7 linked regions of the Kluyveromyces lactis genome follow. The main gene of each other region encodes a partner of the protein of the gene in region 6 in a complex. Links are inferred from orthologs where the notes say so. Each region holds a gene or a part of one and is shown on either strand. Other genes may lie near its edges.

Region 1 (2,073 bases), on a different chromosome or scaffold from region 6:
ATTAGACATTCGTGTTGTTGGGTTGAGAGTCTTCACCTGTGAATAATGCCCCTACTATATGCCTCTTTGGGGTGTTGATAATTTCTGTGGTCAACCGATGAGATGAGATGAGATGATGAGATCTGAAGCGATTTATCATTTTCGAGATTGAAAAATTTCAACTGAACAATACGCAGAAAACCATTTCCGCAGATGAAGAAGTCGCTGTTAATGTAAGATGTCTTAATGACAATTAGATGTAAGAGGCGTTCTGAAATTCAAGTTAAATAACCACCTGGTAACCATATACTGGCGTTTTAAATCTTCTTCTCGCGTGTTCTTGAATGTCTTGACGATCCTTGGGCAGAGAGTCAACTCATCTCAAAAGGATATGTCATTTGAATAAGACATCAAATCGGATGAAAAGTATCTTATTATATACATATGTACAGGACCTAACTTTGAAAGTAGTATATTTAGGTATTCCAGTTTGTTTGTTTTTCTTTGTCAAAGGTCGGAGCTCATACCTTTATTATTTCTTCCTGGGGTACTCTTTTGTGTTCCAATTTCTGTAGCACTTCATCCATAATTTCAGATGAGTGTTTGTGCTTCATTGAAACTTCAGCTACAACCTTCCCATCGGATCCAATAGCTTCTAGTATGCATGGTACATCGACTTTTTTATCATCGTTTCTAATTCTGGTCACATTGATTGGCAACGCAGGGTTGTAAAACTGCAGAGAAGGCAAAAACTCGTGCCAGAACTTACGGGCACCCATATGGCCATTGAAATTCTGATACTGGAACTTCACATTCAATGCACTGTACTTCGATACATCTAATATAATTTGAGGTTTCACGGTAGTCGCACTGATCTTGTTCAAAAATTTTTGTTGTTTAACGATTCCTGACATTATTTATTAATGATCTTCTCTAGAGTGACAATGAGTATAAGTATCCAATCGGTAAAATAAACCTTGACGATAAAGTAGAGCAACCAGGACCCTTCACTTTCAGCAATATCACTTCAATCATCTATTTCGTAAAATCATTCTCATTTCAACTGGACATGTCCACTGAACTTTTTGAATTTTCAATAGTTTGGAAAAAAATTCATTGGTCACGTGAAATCATTCGACAGAAGCAAGTTACGTCCAAAACATAAATGAATGTGCCATGACTTACCCCAGTTTACAATTTATGTAGCATGGATCGTGAGGGAAGGACTTGTGATGAAGTCTTATACATGCATTCAAAATATGTAAATGCCATTGATTATAGATAGATAAATACTCCAAAAATAAGATTATTGCATCGAGCATCCATTGGAGAGTACAGCAAAACGAATGAAACGAATTTTGAATTGGAAGTGCGTACATCAATCCATCTAGTATTGTACGATGGTCATTCAAAGGAATGTATCAAATAACGGCAGCGTTTCTGAAGGCAATGAGCCGATATATCAAAACAAAAAAAAAAAGAAAAGGGACTAACGGGGGGAAAGGCGTGTTAAAGTTTACATATTGTGTAGATGCAAGATAAGAGGCATGTTGATATCTGAATTTCATGAGCAAGTATGCCTGCTAAAAGTTGGTGAAAATACTATGGTACGGATCTTCGCCTTGAATGCCATAATTAACCTCTTCCTCTGGATACCTATCGTATTGAGAGGTATCGCCTTGTCCGGCCTGAATAGGAGGTTCATATGGAGTTTCAATGTTTTTGCAGAGTAGTTTTTCCCACACAACCTCGCTGAACCACGGATGATTCTTTACGTCCTCACTTCCATTTTGTAAATTACCTAGCCGTTGACTTAAGTCTCTTGTGATGAGTTTCGATATTAGATCTTGAGCATCAGAATGGAAAAATGGTGGGAATCTTACTGGAGCATTTAGAATATTCTCATAGGTCTTAATTGTGTTTGAATCGTAGAAAGGTGTATATCCTGCTAACATTTCGTAGATTAAAACACCAAAACTCCACCAATCCACAGATTTGTTGTAAGGTTTTGTGCTTACCACTTCAGGTGCGATATAGTCCGGTGTTCCACAGAGAGTGTAAGTGACATCAGGAACATATTTAGCGAACCCGAAA
Region 2 (2,549 bases), on a different chromosome or scaffold from region 6:
GAAGAATGGCAAGCGTTTTCTCTATTAACGAAACTCATGAAAGTATACGGATTAAGGGATTTATTCTTGCCGGGAATGCCTGGCCTGATGTTGAAATTGTACCAATTTGATACACTTTTGGAGGAAAATGATCCTCAATTGTATAACCATTTGATCAGGCAGGGAATAAGATCTACAATGTTTGCAACTCAATGGTTCCTGACGATGTTCGCATACAAATTTCCCCTTGAATTCGTTCTCAGAATCATGGATATTGTCATACTTGAAGGTATCGAATCGATGCTAAAATTCAGTTTAACGTTGATGTTAAAGAACAGTCGTAATTTGATCATTCTCAGTTTCGATTCTCTCTTAGACTTCTTGAAGGAGGACCTTTTCCAACACTATGCTTCTAAGGAGAACCCAGAAGAGTACGATATTGATAGATTCATCTCTGATTCGTTGGAAATCAAATTAACTCCATTGCAATTGGAGCGTTACGTGAAAGAGTACGATGAGATTCACAAGTTGGAAACGGAAAAGGAACAACAATATGAGGAACAAAGAATTAAAAACAGACAGCTTCAAAAAGAGTTGAAGAAATTAGAAAATGACTATTCGCTATTAAACAGAGAGCATATCACTATTGCCAATGAACTAATTGAAAACAGACTTCGGATGGAAACTCTTCAGGACGAAAATAAGGATTTATTACTAGAGATAGAAGATTTGAAGAAACAACTGGAACGTGAACTTTATAAACAAACGTTACCTAATCCAGATGCTGAAATTCCCACAGATTTGAAAGCAGATTTGAATAGAACAATGGAAAGAAATCTGGAAGTTATGGACGAAAATCAAGAGCTCAGAACACGCCTTGACGAATTAGAAAAAGAGAACTATGAATTACGCACAGGTAAGACTTGGACCAAAGATGCCACCAATCCAAAGGGAAATCGTCTCGGGAATTGGGCTTTCAAATCACCATGGAAGAAATGAGAAAAATTGCAACAGGGACCTCATTCACAATATCCATCCAGCCGTACATATATACATACCCTTCATACATACATGATACCGCCAACCATTACGCAGAGGTGTATTCTAATCATAAATTTCCTTATGCTTTACCATTCTCGCTGTATACGGTTTTGATCTTTCCAAAGCTTATTCAAAATTTTAGAAAATAACGACTTGATACATGCACTAAGGTGAAGAGAAGGAGCTTGAACCTAGTATGAAGCTAGTTGGTCTAAGAGTCTCTGTACGTTCACCAATAAGCACGGAGATCGTTCATCTGGAATGAAGTTTTTTCCAAGTTCCCAAAGAGGGTTTTCCACTCTTAGCCACCTCCTCAGAGAATGGAGATTAGTTGAAAGCAGACAGATCCCAACTCCAAAGACGTATCAAGTCGGCGACAGCAAGCCATTATATATCCCAAAGGAGAAGAAGGAATTCCCTGATTATCCATACGGAGAATCTCCAATTTACAAACAGAGTAACAAAGGTTTATACGGTGCGTCTTTCATCCAATTCGGTAATAACATCGCTGAATCGAAGACAAAAACCAGGAGATCATGGAGTCCAAACGTTATTAGAAAAGGACTATGGAGTGAGACTTTGAACAGAAAGATTAGTATTAAGATGACAGCAAAAGTTTTAAGAACAATTACCAAGGAAGGTGGTATTGACAACTATTTGACTAAGGAAAAGGCCGCCAGAATTAAGGAATTGGGACCTACTGGTTGGAAACTCCGTTACAGACTACTGAACTCTAAGGAAAAAGCTGCCAATCCTGTACATAAGGACGCTGAGACTGTCACAGATGCCAATGGCAACGAAGTCACCGTATTGTACAAAGTTGTTGTCGATGGAGAACCATTGAGAATTACTGCTGGTAAGCGTAAACTATTGCATACCCTTTTCCCATTGGAAAAGATGGAACACAAAGCGGATGGATTAGATCTATCGTTTAAGAAATTCATGGACCAATTTGCTACCCGTGACGTGGCAGACATCGTATCGAGATTAAAGGCCTTGAATTTCGATTTGAGTACGATTACTGTATGAGAACTGAATAGATTTTGTTCCAATTTTATATAAAAGCTTGTAAACAATGAGAAAATAGATTCTACCATGAGCTGGGAGGATGCTTGAAGACTATGCGTTAGTTGTCCGACTGACCGATGCAAGAGTTAATCACCCACTGTTCAATTGAATTGAACGGTGTGCATGTGACTGTTGCACCCAGACATTATTGACTGTTGCACCCATACATACTCAATTTCTGCTGAAAATGAGAATGTTTCCATACTAGGAAATTATTTTCTCATGTCCACCAAATCCGCTGAGCTGACGGTAGGATGCACAGACACATCCCATCCGTCTTCGTTGCTTGCTTCGAGCTGGGCAGGGCCTGTCCCGTTTCCTCCCTAAGCTGGACTGCCCGGTCTGGGCCTGGACATTCCACCAAACTGGCCGCTGGACTGCCCACTTAGACCCCAGGCTAGGCATCTCATGGTTTCCATTCACTTCCCATACCCTCCCAAACACTCCTCCGGGTAATCATC
Region 3 (2,235 bases), on a different chromosome or scaffold from region 6:
ATGACAATGCTGTAGCCATCACTAAATTTACGAACAATGACAACTACACGATGAAAGCCGAAATACTAGATCACGATTCGTATGCTGCTTCATCAACAGTAACATCAGTGAATCTGTTAGATAATGACACAAAATTATTGGCTACATCAGTGGACCAGGTCATAAGAATTAGGGACATTACGAATGACAAACTGAAAATAACGGAGAGCAAATATACCACAGTAGCAGATACCGGTTCCAGTGATATAGTTACGTTACCAAACGTCCAGAAAACACTTATATTAATAGGAGGATTAGGACTTTCCTGTTGGCGAGATGAATAATATCTAACCATCTAAACTTCAGAATTTTATATATTTAAAACCAGTTTATTAGTATAGAATGGAAATTATTTATAGAAAGAAGGCTGCATTTTTCCACATTCAAGAAAAGAACACATCCTCCATTATGACTTATCTATATACATGAAAGATTGGGACGAATGGGAGGGCGATTGTAATTCAACCTTGACGTTGTTTATGCTTCTTATTGGACTTACAGTAAACGTACACTCTGCCCTTACGTCTAACCATGTAACAATCGTTACAGAACTTCTTGATGGAAGTTCTTACCTTAAAACCTCTGGTCAAAGGAGGGTTCATAAGACCCATCATTGGCATAGATAGCATATTGATACTTTTCACAGCTGGCCTTGTCAGTCTTGTCAACGAGTTCAACATCGTACTTCCGAAAAGTGTGCTCATTATGTATGTATTTCCCTCTCTTTATATTATATCGGGCTCCAGAGTTATACCTGTGAAGAGTTTTCAGTTTTTGATATCACCCACGGTCTTGAAACGTACTAATGGAGTCCACAATCGTCAATAAGGCATCACACCGACTGAACATGCCCTCTATAGCTGATGATCTACCATGAAAAGGCCTTCGATAATTTTTCAAAATAGTTTCAATGGAGATTAAGATATTTACCCGGACTATAGCACGTGATGGTTATGACCTGAGATCTTGAACATCCTCATCTAGTGAACATCTTTGGGCAAATCTGAAGACCGTTTCGAATCACTAACAAATAAATAATTGATGAAGTACACCCATCCTTTCTAAGAGACTCTTCAAGGCAGTTGTTTTATCCTTTTTCTCGGTTCTCACTGTATGTGCAGCAGCGCTCTGAATCGAAAACATTGAACTTCGAAAACGTAAACAATCGAATTTTAGATCAATATATTGACACACAAATACCGAATCATCATAAACTTAAGGACTAATATTTAGGTTAAGTTTCCATTTATTATCATATTTCACCCTGTGTTGATAGTCTCGCTTCATATGACAGATCCAAAACGATTGTCTTTGCTTCCGAGAAGTATCCTTAAGCAAAAATTTAAGGATGATGATACAACTAACACCAGTCATAATTTGACTATGTCCCAGATACAGTTTCCTACTGAGGGAATTACCAAAGAAGATATACTGGACGGAAACAATACGACATCCCGGATCAGTGCTGCGATTTCGAAGGGAAATCGCCGTGTGTCCTTTGCACCAGATGTGACTTTGCACAAGTTCGAATTCATACCACAATCGATTCAAAATGTAAGGGAACCTCGAAGGAAATCCGCTTTAAAATTGGAAGTGGCAGTAGCTGAAGCCTCTATGGCCGATACCAAAAATGATAACGACAATTCTGGAGAAACAATGGAATTTACTAGTCCGATAGGTTCAATATTCCAAAAATTGGAGTCTCCAAGCGAACCGAAAAATGATGGGTACCAACCTGTGTTCGACAAAGAGGTTTCAATGGATATAACACAGTTATTTGCAAAACATAGCGCTAAACCAGACGATAATGTGGTACCGCAAGAAACCTCTACTGCTGCGGAAGAAGAAGAAGAGAATGGTAACGAAGACCAAGTTTTGGAGGAAACAATGGACCTTACAGAACCGCAGAAACGCCGCTTTAACGAAGAAGAGTCTATGGAAATAACTGACCAAATACGGATGGATGCAGAAAAACCTACGCTAGATGCAGATTCAGAATCTGCTTTCAAATTACCTAAGATACCAGCAATTACAGAGGAAACAATGGAATTTACAAACGTGCAGGCTCCTCTGGAGATGCGAGAGTCACAGATAGTTTCTTCAACTCAACTAGAACCAACTCAACTCCCGCAGTCAAAAAGAAGGAAATTATCTAACGGTGGTTATCAGTCTCCGGTCAAATTGCAGGTACCAGTG
Region 4 (2,235 bases), about 240 kb from region 6:
GATCCAAATGAGAGTGTCTTTAGCTCATCTTCGCTTTGTGAACCTTCTGCATCACTTGTATCGTTTATTCTTATGATTGATGCTATGTCATCTTCCTCATCTTCGTTTCCTGAATGAAGATCTGGCTTGATATTCTTGAAGTAAAATGACATTTGTATATTACTGGTAGTTTTTGTGGCCGTGGCTGCTTACAGGTTAGTTATCAGTCGCTTCTACATAGAAGTTCTTCTTGATTTTAAGTTTAGCTCATCGCTTCTGCATTGGCACCGTATAAAATTTTCAATATCTGGAAGAAACTTGAAATTCCTATTCAGGCGATGTAAATGAATAATGGACAGGAAGGGAGCTTCAAATAATAAGGTCTGTGATCATACCAACAGCGTTGACTCAATTTAATCCACTGAAGCATTGTAGTGTTTTATATCTTATACTACATTAAATTTCTTTTACTTATTGTTATATATACATGAATTTTGTGATGGGTATCTCGTCACAAGAAATCATTGAGATTCAATACTTTCCTTTAGGGCCAATTTTCTTGAATGACGATCAAAGTAGTTCCCTAGTTCCATGAAGTTCATACTGCTTGGATCAGCTTCCAATTCAGTTTTATCTTTGAAAGTAACTTTCACTGTAGGTTTCTTATTAGAGCCAGAAACCAAAACTTCGTTTTGCAATTGTAATCCACTTGTTCTTTGTGAAGGAGGAATAGCACTTAAGAACAACCTAGCTGTCTTGGCTGTAGATGAAGATAAATGAGACGATTGATGTTTTAATAGTAAAACAACCGTAAATCATATTATGTTAGTAATGGTGTTCGGTAGTTTTAAATGATGTCCAACTAATGATTTCTCTTTCTTTGAAGACATACCTTCCTTTCCTAATGGATTGAATTTCACAACTGCCTTAGTAAAATATTTCGTGATCATGTTGCTCTATAGTTCTCTTGACAACAGCTGACAAACTCCCAAGTATTACTCTGATGAGACGTCCTCATCCAAAAACATACTTCACAGCTGTATTCATCTCTAGCTTTTTGCCTAAAACTGTTTAAATGGTAATAGCGATCTCATCAGAGGCTATACTATTACCCGGATAGTTTTTGAATGTTTTTGGGCGATGTTTGACGAAATGAAAAATATTGAAAGAAACATCCAATTGCAAAATGAACAACTTCAATATTTGCAAATGAAGCAAGACTGCTTTTAGCACAATCGGTTTTTAGGATCCTTGGATTGTTATTTAAGGTCGATATAAGGTACTCGCCTTTAATTGTTTGCAGGTTGAACTAAGTGCGGGTTGTTTTTCATTCGTTTATTCAATTGTAACAGCCGTTGATACGGTGAATCTATTGGCAAGCTTTTTAAAAAGGAACTATTCATATTCGAATTGGACTTTCAGTTTGATTGTAACTATACTTTAACTTGATCTTATTGCCTGAAGGACCAGTATCTTTTTTATAGAAGCGAAATAAACTACAGAGCCATGTTTTTCTTCAAAGATTTGTCGTTGAATATAACGCTTCATCCATCATTCTTTGGACCTCAGATGAAGAGATATTTGATGACAAAGCTACTACAAGAGGTGGAAGGAACATGTACCGGTAAATTCGGATATATCCTATGTGTTTTAGACTGTGAAAATATCGAGATTGAACGTGGACGGATTTTGCCTACGGACGGGTCAGCAGAGTTTACTGTTAAATATAGAGCTGTGGTATGGAAACCTTTCAAGGGAGAAGTTCTTGATGGTATCGTATCTAGTTGTACAAACTTAGGTTTTGAAGTGGAAGTTGGACCTTTGTCTGTCTTCGTTTCCCCTTTTTTGATGCCAGAAGATTTGACTTTCAACAGTGGTTCCAATCCTCCATCATATCAATCATCAGAACAAATTATTACTAAAGGATCTAGAGTAAGATTAAAAATCGTCGGTGCAAGATCGGAAGTCAACTCTATTTACGCCATTGGCAGTATCAAGGAAGATTATTTGGGGGTGATATGATATTTCTTTCCTAGAACCTTTCACATTTTTCACCTAATCGCAACTATGACTATATATAGCTTTGGACATAAATTTCCAAATTCCGGTCATCATTGTTATCTGCTTCATTTGTGAGCATTTTGTATAATATAAAAGAACAAACTAATTTAACAAGCAGCATGGTCAATGTACTTTCTTTTTCTCAGCAATTAATAATAGCGTCACATTAATTTTTTGATTGTACCAAGCACAAAC
Region 5 (2,227 bases), on a different chromosome or scaffold from region 6:
TCTCTCAATTTGAGACAATCTGTAGAAACATTATCTGGATTAGTTCTAAAGTTGGAAAGCTATATTGATAAATTAACCGAGGAAAATACCCGCAAAGATGAAATTCTTGCTGCTTTGGAAGCAAAAGTAGATCGTCTTTTGGAGCAAGGGAAATAATATCAAATATGAAATACATCCTTCCCTAATTCTTCTCGTTTTTGTTCTGTTAAATGTTCTTTCTTCCAGGCAAAAGTATTATGCTTTGGCATACTGCGATGTAATATCTTTTCTATCTCTGTATGTGATTTGTATGTGATTTGTATGTGATAATTAACATATCTAAATAACAATCTATATGTACATAGTAAAGTGGAAGAGTTTAGTACAGTGAAAAACGACAGACATTGTATGCGTACTAAGGAGAACCATTTAGATCGAATAATAATATATACAGGGATTTTACATCACATGCTGCCGTTAACTTCTCAAAAATTAAGAAGTCACATAAAAATTCATCCACACTATTTCTTCTGGTGTTGCAGCTCTAGTTGCTGATCAGCAAATGCGGTGATATTACTCTTGTATGGATGTTCACTTCCATCGAAAATTTTTAATCTAGCAAGTCTGATCTTACGAAGTTTATTCTTGGGAAGCATTCCGGACACAGCCTTCTTCAAAACTTCACTGTAACCCTTGTTACTGATCATGTCTTCCATTGTAGTCAACTTTAATGAACCTGGTCTAGAAGTATGCGACCAGTACGTCTTTTGGGTCATCTTGTTCCCCGTCACACGCAAAGCTTGGCAGTTCGTTACCACAACATAATCACCGCAATCAGCAGATGGATGATACACTGGCTTGTGCTTCCCCATTAACGCTAGAGCAACCTGAGATGCCACCCTACCAAGCGTTCTCTTGTCCTTGGATATATCAACATGATGCCACATCCTGGCAAATGCCAAACCAGTATGTCCTACCTTTTGAGACATACTTCTAATATATTGTTATTTTGCCTCCTTTCTGACAGGTTAAAACGTGGCACCTAAAAAGTTAAATTTTAAGTGATGCTATTCAACTGTAATCACTTAGGTAAAGGGATAGTTCGGGACAGTCAGTTGTCTTTTAACTCATCATATGTTTAGCTTGACAATCGATTTGATTAATTGATGTTTAATTTCAGCTTGGAGCCAAATTTTTTTCAATCGCTCATATTACTGTTACCCGGATGTTAAACACAATCTATATACAAGCTACTAACAAATACCTACAACTCATCCTGAACTATGTCGTCCTTCGTAAGTTTAGTCTTCTGTTTGTTCTTTTTAGTCTTGGACTTCTTTGACTTTGATTTATTCAAAATAGATTTGAGGTATTCTTGTCTCTTACTGAGTGGACCTTCCCTTGGTTTTGACTCGAATTTCGAAAGGAACGTTGCAATGTCATTTTTATCTGTAGTTTTTAATATGTCTAGTTCGTCATAAGTATCTGTTTCTCTATCTATCACTACGATTCTGGGCGATTGTAATTCAGTTTCACTTTTTTCTAACGATTGGAGGTATTTAACAGTATTTGGCCAATTCTTTGTATCGTTCTCAAAACTCAATTGTGACACGCCTTGCAATTTCTCGTCCCAGATCGAATAGAAATCGTAGATCCCAAGCCAATCGAGGGCTACAGATTTATATAAAGTTGGAATCTTCTCCTTCTTTGAGATAAGCACTACAGCGTACCTGGTTCTTGAAGATTTTAATAGTTCTTCGAACTTACTGTAACGGTTCAACCGCTTCACGTAGTTTTTCACTCTAGATAAAGCGAAATCGACAATGGGCTTCAATTTCCTTTCTCCCTTGTACACTTCTGTGGCATGCTGTGACGCAGCACCATTGGAATTTTTCTTTGGGTTATCCAAATTGATCTTTGGAGGCCTGAATACCATTAACGTTGGGAACCCCGATACTCTGTTCTGTGCACATAATTGTTTATTCACACTTTCATCACAGTTCACTCCAGCAACTTGTACCATTCCAGAGAGGATTTTACCGGCAGATTTCATGGAACCTTTCAATTCCTGACAGTAACCACACCACGGAGCATAAAACATGACCAAAGTGGTGTAATTGGTCCTATGAATGACTTTATCGAAGTTAGAAGGTGTCAATTCCATGATATTCTCATCACGGTCGTAGAAATTGGCTCCGAACGCCAGTTCGACCAACAAAAACAATGCATATAGAAGACGTGTGTACAT
Region 6 (2,639 bases):
TACCCTCACTGAGTTCAAAGTACCTGACTCCCTTGACGCTACCATCGTTCTTCCCTAAGGGTTCATCTAACTCAACACCGATCCAAATCCCCGCTGCAAACTGCGTCTCGCCTATAAACCGTACAGTTCCTGCCAGGCTGCGTAGCACTACCCTATCTCCTAATTCCAGATCCATTGTTTCATTTTAGAACTAAAGAGTAGTTGATCTGGCAGTACTGTAAGGTATTCATCAGTTATTGCCTTCATTTCTTTCAGGATATGTGTTTATGTTCCTTAAACTCAATATTGTCAAAATAATCATAAACATGAAATCTTTAAACATATTTTAAAGAAGTTTCACGAAGTTTACGCGTGCAGCAAAAGAGGTAAATTAAGAGGTTCGATTGACTTACAGCCAAGACTCACAACGGCAAGAAATCTAACCCAATTCGGATCATAGAAACATGAATAACAGAAGGCCCAGTGGACGAGTAGCGAAATCCGTGGATAAATCCACTTTACAAAAGGAATTATTAGAAGAACAGAAACAAGAAATATACGAGGCGTTCTCACTCTTTGATATGAACAATGATGGATATCTCGACTATCATGAATTCAAAGTCGCTCTAAGGGCATTGGGTTTTGAACTCAGTAAAGGAGACATATTAGAACTTATCGATAGGTATGATGCAGACGGACGCCGGTTAATACAATACGAGGATTTTTACCTGGTAGTAGGAGAAAAAATATTGCAAAGAGACCCATTGGATGAAATTAAACGTGCCTTCAGGCTATTCGACGATGATAACACGGGCAAGATCTCATTGAAGAATTTGAAACGTGTAGCTCACGAACTAGGTGAAAACCTTACAGACGAAGAACTACGTGCCATGATTGATGAGTTTGATCTTGACGATGACGGAGAGATCAATGAAGAAGAGTTCATTGCTATATGCACTGACAATTAGTGCTTCACGACCATTTCCATTGCCACAGCTGGAGCCCTGTGCCGCATGTATATCTCACCTTGTATATCCTATGTAACATCAAGCTATAATACTAAATCAAATGCGAAGAATCTGATAGTCTAATTCGGATCACGTGCTTTCATTTTTCCCTTCCAAAAAAATTTGTCGATGAAAAACTTGAAGGAACGGAATCAAGAAAGACATATGTATCAATATGGTACTATGGAATGAACCACAAATGGTTTATGTTCTGTGAAAAGGACGGTGGTATTCGATACTAGAATAAAATAGATCAGCGGGTATGTCTTCATATAAACATTTATCGAAGGCTGGTGCCCGTTTTTTGGAGCAAGTTCAAGCGAAGAACTCTAATATTGCGAAACAATTTGCCAAGTATGAAGGTTTGACGATGCCAGAGTTCTTGAAACCATCGTTGCCTCGTGTCGAAGAATCCGAGAAGTATAAGAGTGTAAAGCAATGGAAATATATGCCAGGTGATAGAGTGGTGATAGTAAATGGAAAGTTTAAGGGCAATGTTTGTGCCATTACGCAGCACGACGTGCATACAAACGGGTATATTTTGGATGAGAATGGACCCACCAACACTGTTCCTGTGCCCAAGCAATTTTGGCAACAGGGGCAGAACAGTCATATGGTGAGTTTCCCTGTCCCCGTGAGCCAAGCGGACATCAAACTAGTCGCTGATCTCGATGATCCAGAGACTCCAGGTGTGGCTAAGACTGTTGCTGTTCGTGACATCGAATTCAAGGGTTCGTATTATGATTCAGATTACAAGAAAATTATGCCATATAGGGTTGTTGTTGGTGAGAACAATATGGTTGTTCCATGGCCTAAGCCGGAGTTCAAGCCAGATGGTGCATTGGCTACGCGTTCTGAAATTGCACGTCAACAAACTTTCTGGGTTGAAAGCGTAGTAAAAAATCCTGTTCCAGAAGCAGCATTGTCAACCATCCGTAACCCTAAGTCGAAATACAGAAGAGGTACCTTGACAACGAAGGAAATATCAAGATTGGTGGCTCCAAAAATGCCTCTAACGGAAGCAAAGAAAAGATACATCGAACAAAGAAAAGAATTGGCAGCATTGCCAAAACGTAAATTGACTGATGAAGATCAAGAATTGATTGGTGACAAGGTCTACCAACACTTCAAGAAATCTTTCGAATTACAATAAGAATAAATAATAGTTTTGGCTAGCACTTAACTGCCATTCGTATCCACGCTACTTGTACATAGATCATAATATCATACTTCATCGCACTTTTATCTGACTTTTTTTTTTACTACATGTTTATTTTGAATGGAAATCTATACGTAAAGGTCATTACTTGTAGTAACAGACCTCAACAATTTATGATTATAGTAATGACTAAATGATTAGATAACTGTTACTAGTTCATAACAAATGGATGAGTGCGGTCCAATATATGTTATAGAATGGAAGGAAAGTCCAGGCGATCAATGGACTATCTCAGATAAATCGGGGTTTACGACTCATTTATTCAAATTAAATGAAGACGCCAACAAAGATATTGTGTACTGTAAACATTGCCGAAAGCAGTTCATCGGCAAGAACAGAGATTTAATTGGTTTCCATATGAACAAAATCCATCCACAAATCACAACTGGAATGACTTATAATCAGTATCTGCAGATTTTCAAACCCACTTATGT
Region 7 (2,397 bases), on a different chromosome or scaffold from region 6:
TTGGATACTCCAACTGATGATCACTGAATGGATTCGAATGTGCTCTTTGTCTGTAAAACTTTTTTTTAGGTAAAGATAGTTTATCCACCTTTTCAATCACAGATTCATCGATCTTGACATGTTTCAATTCTTTGCGATGATCTTGCTTCTCAGCACGATACGCCTGGCGTCTAGTACTAAAACTCATATTTTCTAACAAAGGCAGTTATAGGAAATTTGAGTCACTGTTAGAATTCAATTATGTTTATTCAACACACATTAACGGTTGGTGGAAGTAACTGCTTTGAAAAATTGTAACCTCATCGCCTAGGTTTTCTCGACTCAATTGATTCAGTGCATGTTCAAAAACTTTTTATTTCTTTACAATATACAAATGAGATCAAAAAAAGTCACGTGCAAAGAATATGTACAGGAGTTTATATTAATATGTGATGGGTTTATTTAAGTACATCGATACGTAAAAATGATTTATATTACATTTCATGATGGGGCAAAAGACTTTAATTTCCTTCGCTGTCATTCTCGTTTTTCTGCTTATCTGGGTTAATATTATCTTCGTGAGACTTTAGAGTTAGGTACAACATGTTTGAGCCAGCTTCTAAAGTTTGAACTAAACCAGCACCGCTCAAGACGTGCAATAGTCCCAGTAATTCTGATTGTAATTGACTTTTTGTTGGTAGATCCTTGAAAGAATCCAATTGTCTCAAATCGTACGCATCATTTTCAACTTTGGCGCCAATAACGAATAACTTGTCTTGGGCTTTTTCCAATAATTTCATGACTTTTTTTACCTTTGCCGGATCAGTCTCTGGGAACGAAATTGCTGCCGTAGGACCTTTGAACAAGGGCAGTAAAGGATGCTTCCAGTCTTGTTCTGAACGTTTCGCTGGAGCAGCTGGGTCATTTTTGCGTGAGTTTCTCAAGTATACTTGGAACAAATTGTTTCTCAAGATTGTTAACTTGCCTCCTACCTTATTAATTTCTTCTCTGAAGTGTGCATTCTCCCCTTTCATCAAATTGTTATGATGACAAAACAACATTACCGGACTGGTTTCCATCAGGTTTTTGTAAGAGTCGATTAGGAAAGTCTTACGAGAGTCCAAAGGCTTTACTGTTCTTCTAACTGCATCCGAGACAGTTCTCTCAATTTGCGTAGAGGCAAACCTCCTAACCAAAAACGGAGAAGCATATGAGACACGGGATACCACCACTGGGCTTCTTAACAAAAGTGACAACATGGCTATTTTGAGTGGTTGGTGATGACCTGAGCTGTGGATTCGAATCACTTTAAGCGAATTCATTCCCACCAATATATCTCTTCACTACAATATATCAATCTTCAGTGATTTTTCAGATTTTTCATTTTTTTTCAGATTTTTCAGTATCGTCGAATTTCAATACTTGGTACAATAAACCGACGAGAGGCATAGTTAGATTCAATGTAAGAAGGTATGAATGGTAATTGGAAGTGGTATGAGTGCCAAAATCGGTATCAACAATGGAGAAGGGAATGAAGACTTTCTCGTATATTTTCCATGGCAGCAAAAAATGTATATTGGTAATTTTTTATATATCTTCTTTATAGTATATATAATCCCGAATGAGGCAAAGGTCGATTCACGTGACTGTTCAAATTAAAATGATAGAGGAATTGGTGAGTTCTGCTCTTCTTTTCGAACTGCAAACTGTCATTGCTATCGTCAACATCATGCTTAAATAATGTAATCCGTTATAGACGTCTCCTGTCCAAGCTAGGAGGGATGTCGAAAGATTAGATTTCTTCCTTACAAAAGGTAGTCCGGGATTTATAGGGTCGTAGTGAAATTGTGAAGAGATGCAACTCTACTTCGTCATTGAAAAAATAAATGCAGTCATGTAACTGACGAGAATAATGCACAATTAGTGTAACTTCATCGTTCCATTGTGGAATTTGTCGCTATTCGGGATTTTCGTACATTTGAAACAGCATAGCTCTGTGCTGTAACGGTCTGGAAAATTATCTCATCTCATCGACAAGGGTTTGCATTAGTTGTCTCGCATCCATATCACGGATACGGCTGACATTGGATCCTGCCCAATGTGCTGCGAAAGAATTTGCGGTACCATCATGATCTGGAATAGACACGGCATTTAACTGCTTCCCCACATCGTATGTAAATGGATACCCTGGATGTATCACTCTAGTTGGAATATCCACCTCAGTGTGCCAACTATTCAACAAAGCTCGCGCCGGACGACCTGATATGCTGCTTGTGATTTGAGTTATGTCATTTCTTGTTTTGTCAAATAATAATTTCCTGTAATTTTCTGACGCAGCCGATTCTTTGCATTGGACAAATGCGGTTCCTAATTGAGCACCACTGGCACCTACTTCCATCATTCCTTTAATATCTTGAC

The links.
Region 1: MRPL40 (region 6) and MRP49 share a complex: the UniProt entries of both Saccharomyces cerevisiae proteins name them as parts of the mitochondrial large ribosomal subunit. The link is inferred for Kluyveromyces lactis from reciprocal best matches to the Saccharomyces cerevisiae genes MRPL40 and MRP49.
Region 2: MRPL40 (region 6) and MRPL24 share a complex: the UniProt entries of both Saccharomyces cerevisiae proteins name them as parts of the mitochondrial large ribosomal subunit. The link is inferred for Kluyveromyces lactis from reciprocal best matches to the Saccharomyces cerevisiae genes MRPL40 and MRPL24.
Region 3: MRPL40 (region 6) and RTC6 share a complex: the UniProt entries of both Saccharomyces cerevisiae proteins name them as parts of the mitochondrial large ribosomal subunit. The link is inferred for Kluyveromyces lactis from reciprocal best matches to the Saccharomyces cerevisiae genes MRPL40 and RTC6.
Region 4: MRPL40 (region 6) and MRPL44 share a complex: the UniProt entries of both Saccharomyces cerevisiae proteins name them as parts of the mitochondrial large ribosomal subunit. The link is inferred for Kluyveromyces lactis from reciprocal best matches to the Saccharomyces cerevisiae genes MRPL40 and MRPL44.
Region 5: MRPL40 (region 6) and MRPL23 share a complex: the UniProt entries of both Saccharomyces cerevisiae proteins name them as parts of the mitochondrial large ribosomal subunit. The link is inferred for Kluyveromyces lactis from reciprocal best matches to the Saccharomyces cerevisiae genes MRPL40 and MRPL23.
Region 7: MRPL40 (region 6) and MRPL11 share a complex: the UniProt entries of both Saccharomyces cerevisiae proteins name them as parts of the mitochondrial large ribosomal subunit. The link is inferred for Kluyveromyces lactis from reciprocal best matches to the Saccharomyces cerevisiae genes MRPL40 and MRPL11.

Annotation. Positions count from the first base shown.
Region 1 is NC_006038.1:623,044-625,116, forward strand, and holds MRP49 (mitochondrial 54S ribosomal protein mL61), read right to left. Parts: upstream 894-2,073; coding exon 501-893; downstream 1-500. Other genes in the region: RKM3 (protein-lysine N-methyltransferase), read right to left, coding at 1-9; KLLA0_B07205g (cAMP-dependent protein kinase), read right to left, coding at 1,563-2,073. UniProt on the Saccharomyces cerevisiae protein: Component of the mitochondrial ribosome (mitoribosome), a dedicated translation machinery responsible for the synthesis of mitochondrial genome-encoded proteins, including at least some of the essential transmembrane subunits of the mitochondrial respiratory chain.
Region 2 is NC_006040.1:1,064,461-1,067,009, reverse strand, and holds MRPL24 (mitochondrial 54S ribosomal protein bL28m), read left to right. Parts: upstream 1-1,281; coding exon 1,282-2,049; downstream 2,050-2,549. Other genes in the region: KLLA0_D12584g (uncharacterized protein), read left to right, coding at 1-978. UniProt on the Saccharomyces cerevisiae protein: Component of the mitochondrial ribosome (mitoribosome), a dedicated translation machinery responsible for the synthesis of mitochondrial genome-encoded proteins, including at least some of the essential transmembrane subunits of the mitochondrial respiratory chain.
Region 3 is NC_006041.1:1,683,425-1,685,659, forward strand, and holds RTC6 (mitochondrial 54S ribosomal protein bL36m), read right to left. Parts: upstream 744-2,235; coding exon 501-743; downstream 1-500. Other genes in the region: tRNA (34-2'-O)-methyltransferase regulator RTT10, read left to right, coding at 1-323; kinetochore-microtubule binding complex subunit SPC105, read left to right, coding at 1,327-2,235. UniProt on the Saccharomyces cerevisiae protein: Component of the mitochondrial ribosome (mitoribosome), a dedicated translation machinery responsible for the synthesis of mitochondrial genome-encoded proteins, including at least some of the essential transmembrane subunits of the mitochondrial respiratory chain.
Region 4 is NC_006039.1:594,946-597,180, reverse strand, and holds MRPL44 (mitochondrial 54S ribosomal protein mL53), read right to left. Parts: upstream 930-2,235; coding exon 872-929; intron 740-871; coding exon 501-739; downstream 1-500. Other genes in the region: rRNA-processing protein RRP36, read right to left, coding at 1-152; DNA-directed RNA polymerase II subunit RPB7, read left to right, coding at 1,486-2,001. UniProt on the Saccharomyces cerevisiae protein: Component of the mitochondrial ribosome (mitoribosome), a dedicated translation machinery responsible for the synthesis of mitochondrial genome-encoded proteins, including at least some of the essential transmembrane subunits of the mitochondrial respiratory chain.
Region 5 is NC_006040.1:210,632-212,858, reverse strand, and holds MRPL23 (mitochondrial 54S ribosomal protein uL13m), read right to left. Parts: upstream 969-2,227; coding exon 501-968; downstream 1-500. Other genes in the region: CRN1 (coronin), read left to right, coding at 1-156; protein disulfide isomerase MPD1, read right to left, coding at 1,244-2,227. UniProt on the Saccharomyces cerevisiae protein: Component of the mitochondrial ribosome (mitoribosome), a dedicated translation machinery responsible for the synthesis of mitochondrial genome-encoded proteins, including at least some of the essential transmembrane subunits of the mitochondrial respiratory chain.
Region 6 is NC_006039.1:835,165-837,803, reverse strand, and holds MRPL40 (mitochondrial 54S ribosomal protein uL24m), read left to right. Parts: upstream 1-1,248; coding exon 1,249-2,139; downstream 2,140-2,639. Other genes in the region: NIP100 (Nip100p), read right to left, coding at 1-175; CDC31 (centrin), read left to right, coding at 444-947; HNT3 (DNA 5'-adenosine monophosphate hydrolase), read left to right, coding at 2,371-2,639. UniProt on the Saccharomyces cerevisiae protein: Component of the mitochondrial ribosome (mitoribosome), a dedicated translation machinery responsible for the synthesis of mitochondrial genome-encoded proteins, including at least some of the essential transmembrane subunits of the mitochondrial respiratory chain.
Region 7 is NC_006037.1:292,829-295,225, forward strand, and holds MRPL11 (mitochondrial 54S ribosomal protein uL10m), read right to left. Parts: upstream 1,239-2,397; coding exon 501-1,238; downstream 1-500. Other genes in the region: TRM8 (tRNA (guanine46-N7)-methyltransferase), read right to left, coding at 1-187; KLLA0_A03289g (putative nitronate monooxygenase), read right to left, coding at 1,997-2,397. UniProt on the Saccharomyces cerevisiae protein: Component of the mitochondrial ribosome (mitoribosome), a dedicated translation machinery responsible for the synthesis of mitochondrial genome-encoded proteins, including at least some of the essential transmembrane subunits of the mitochondrial respiratory chain.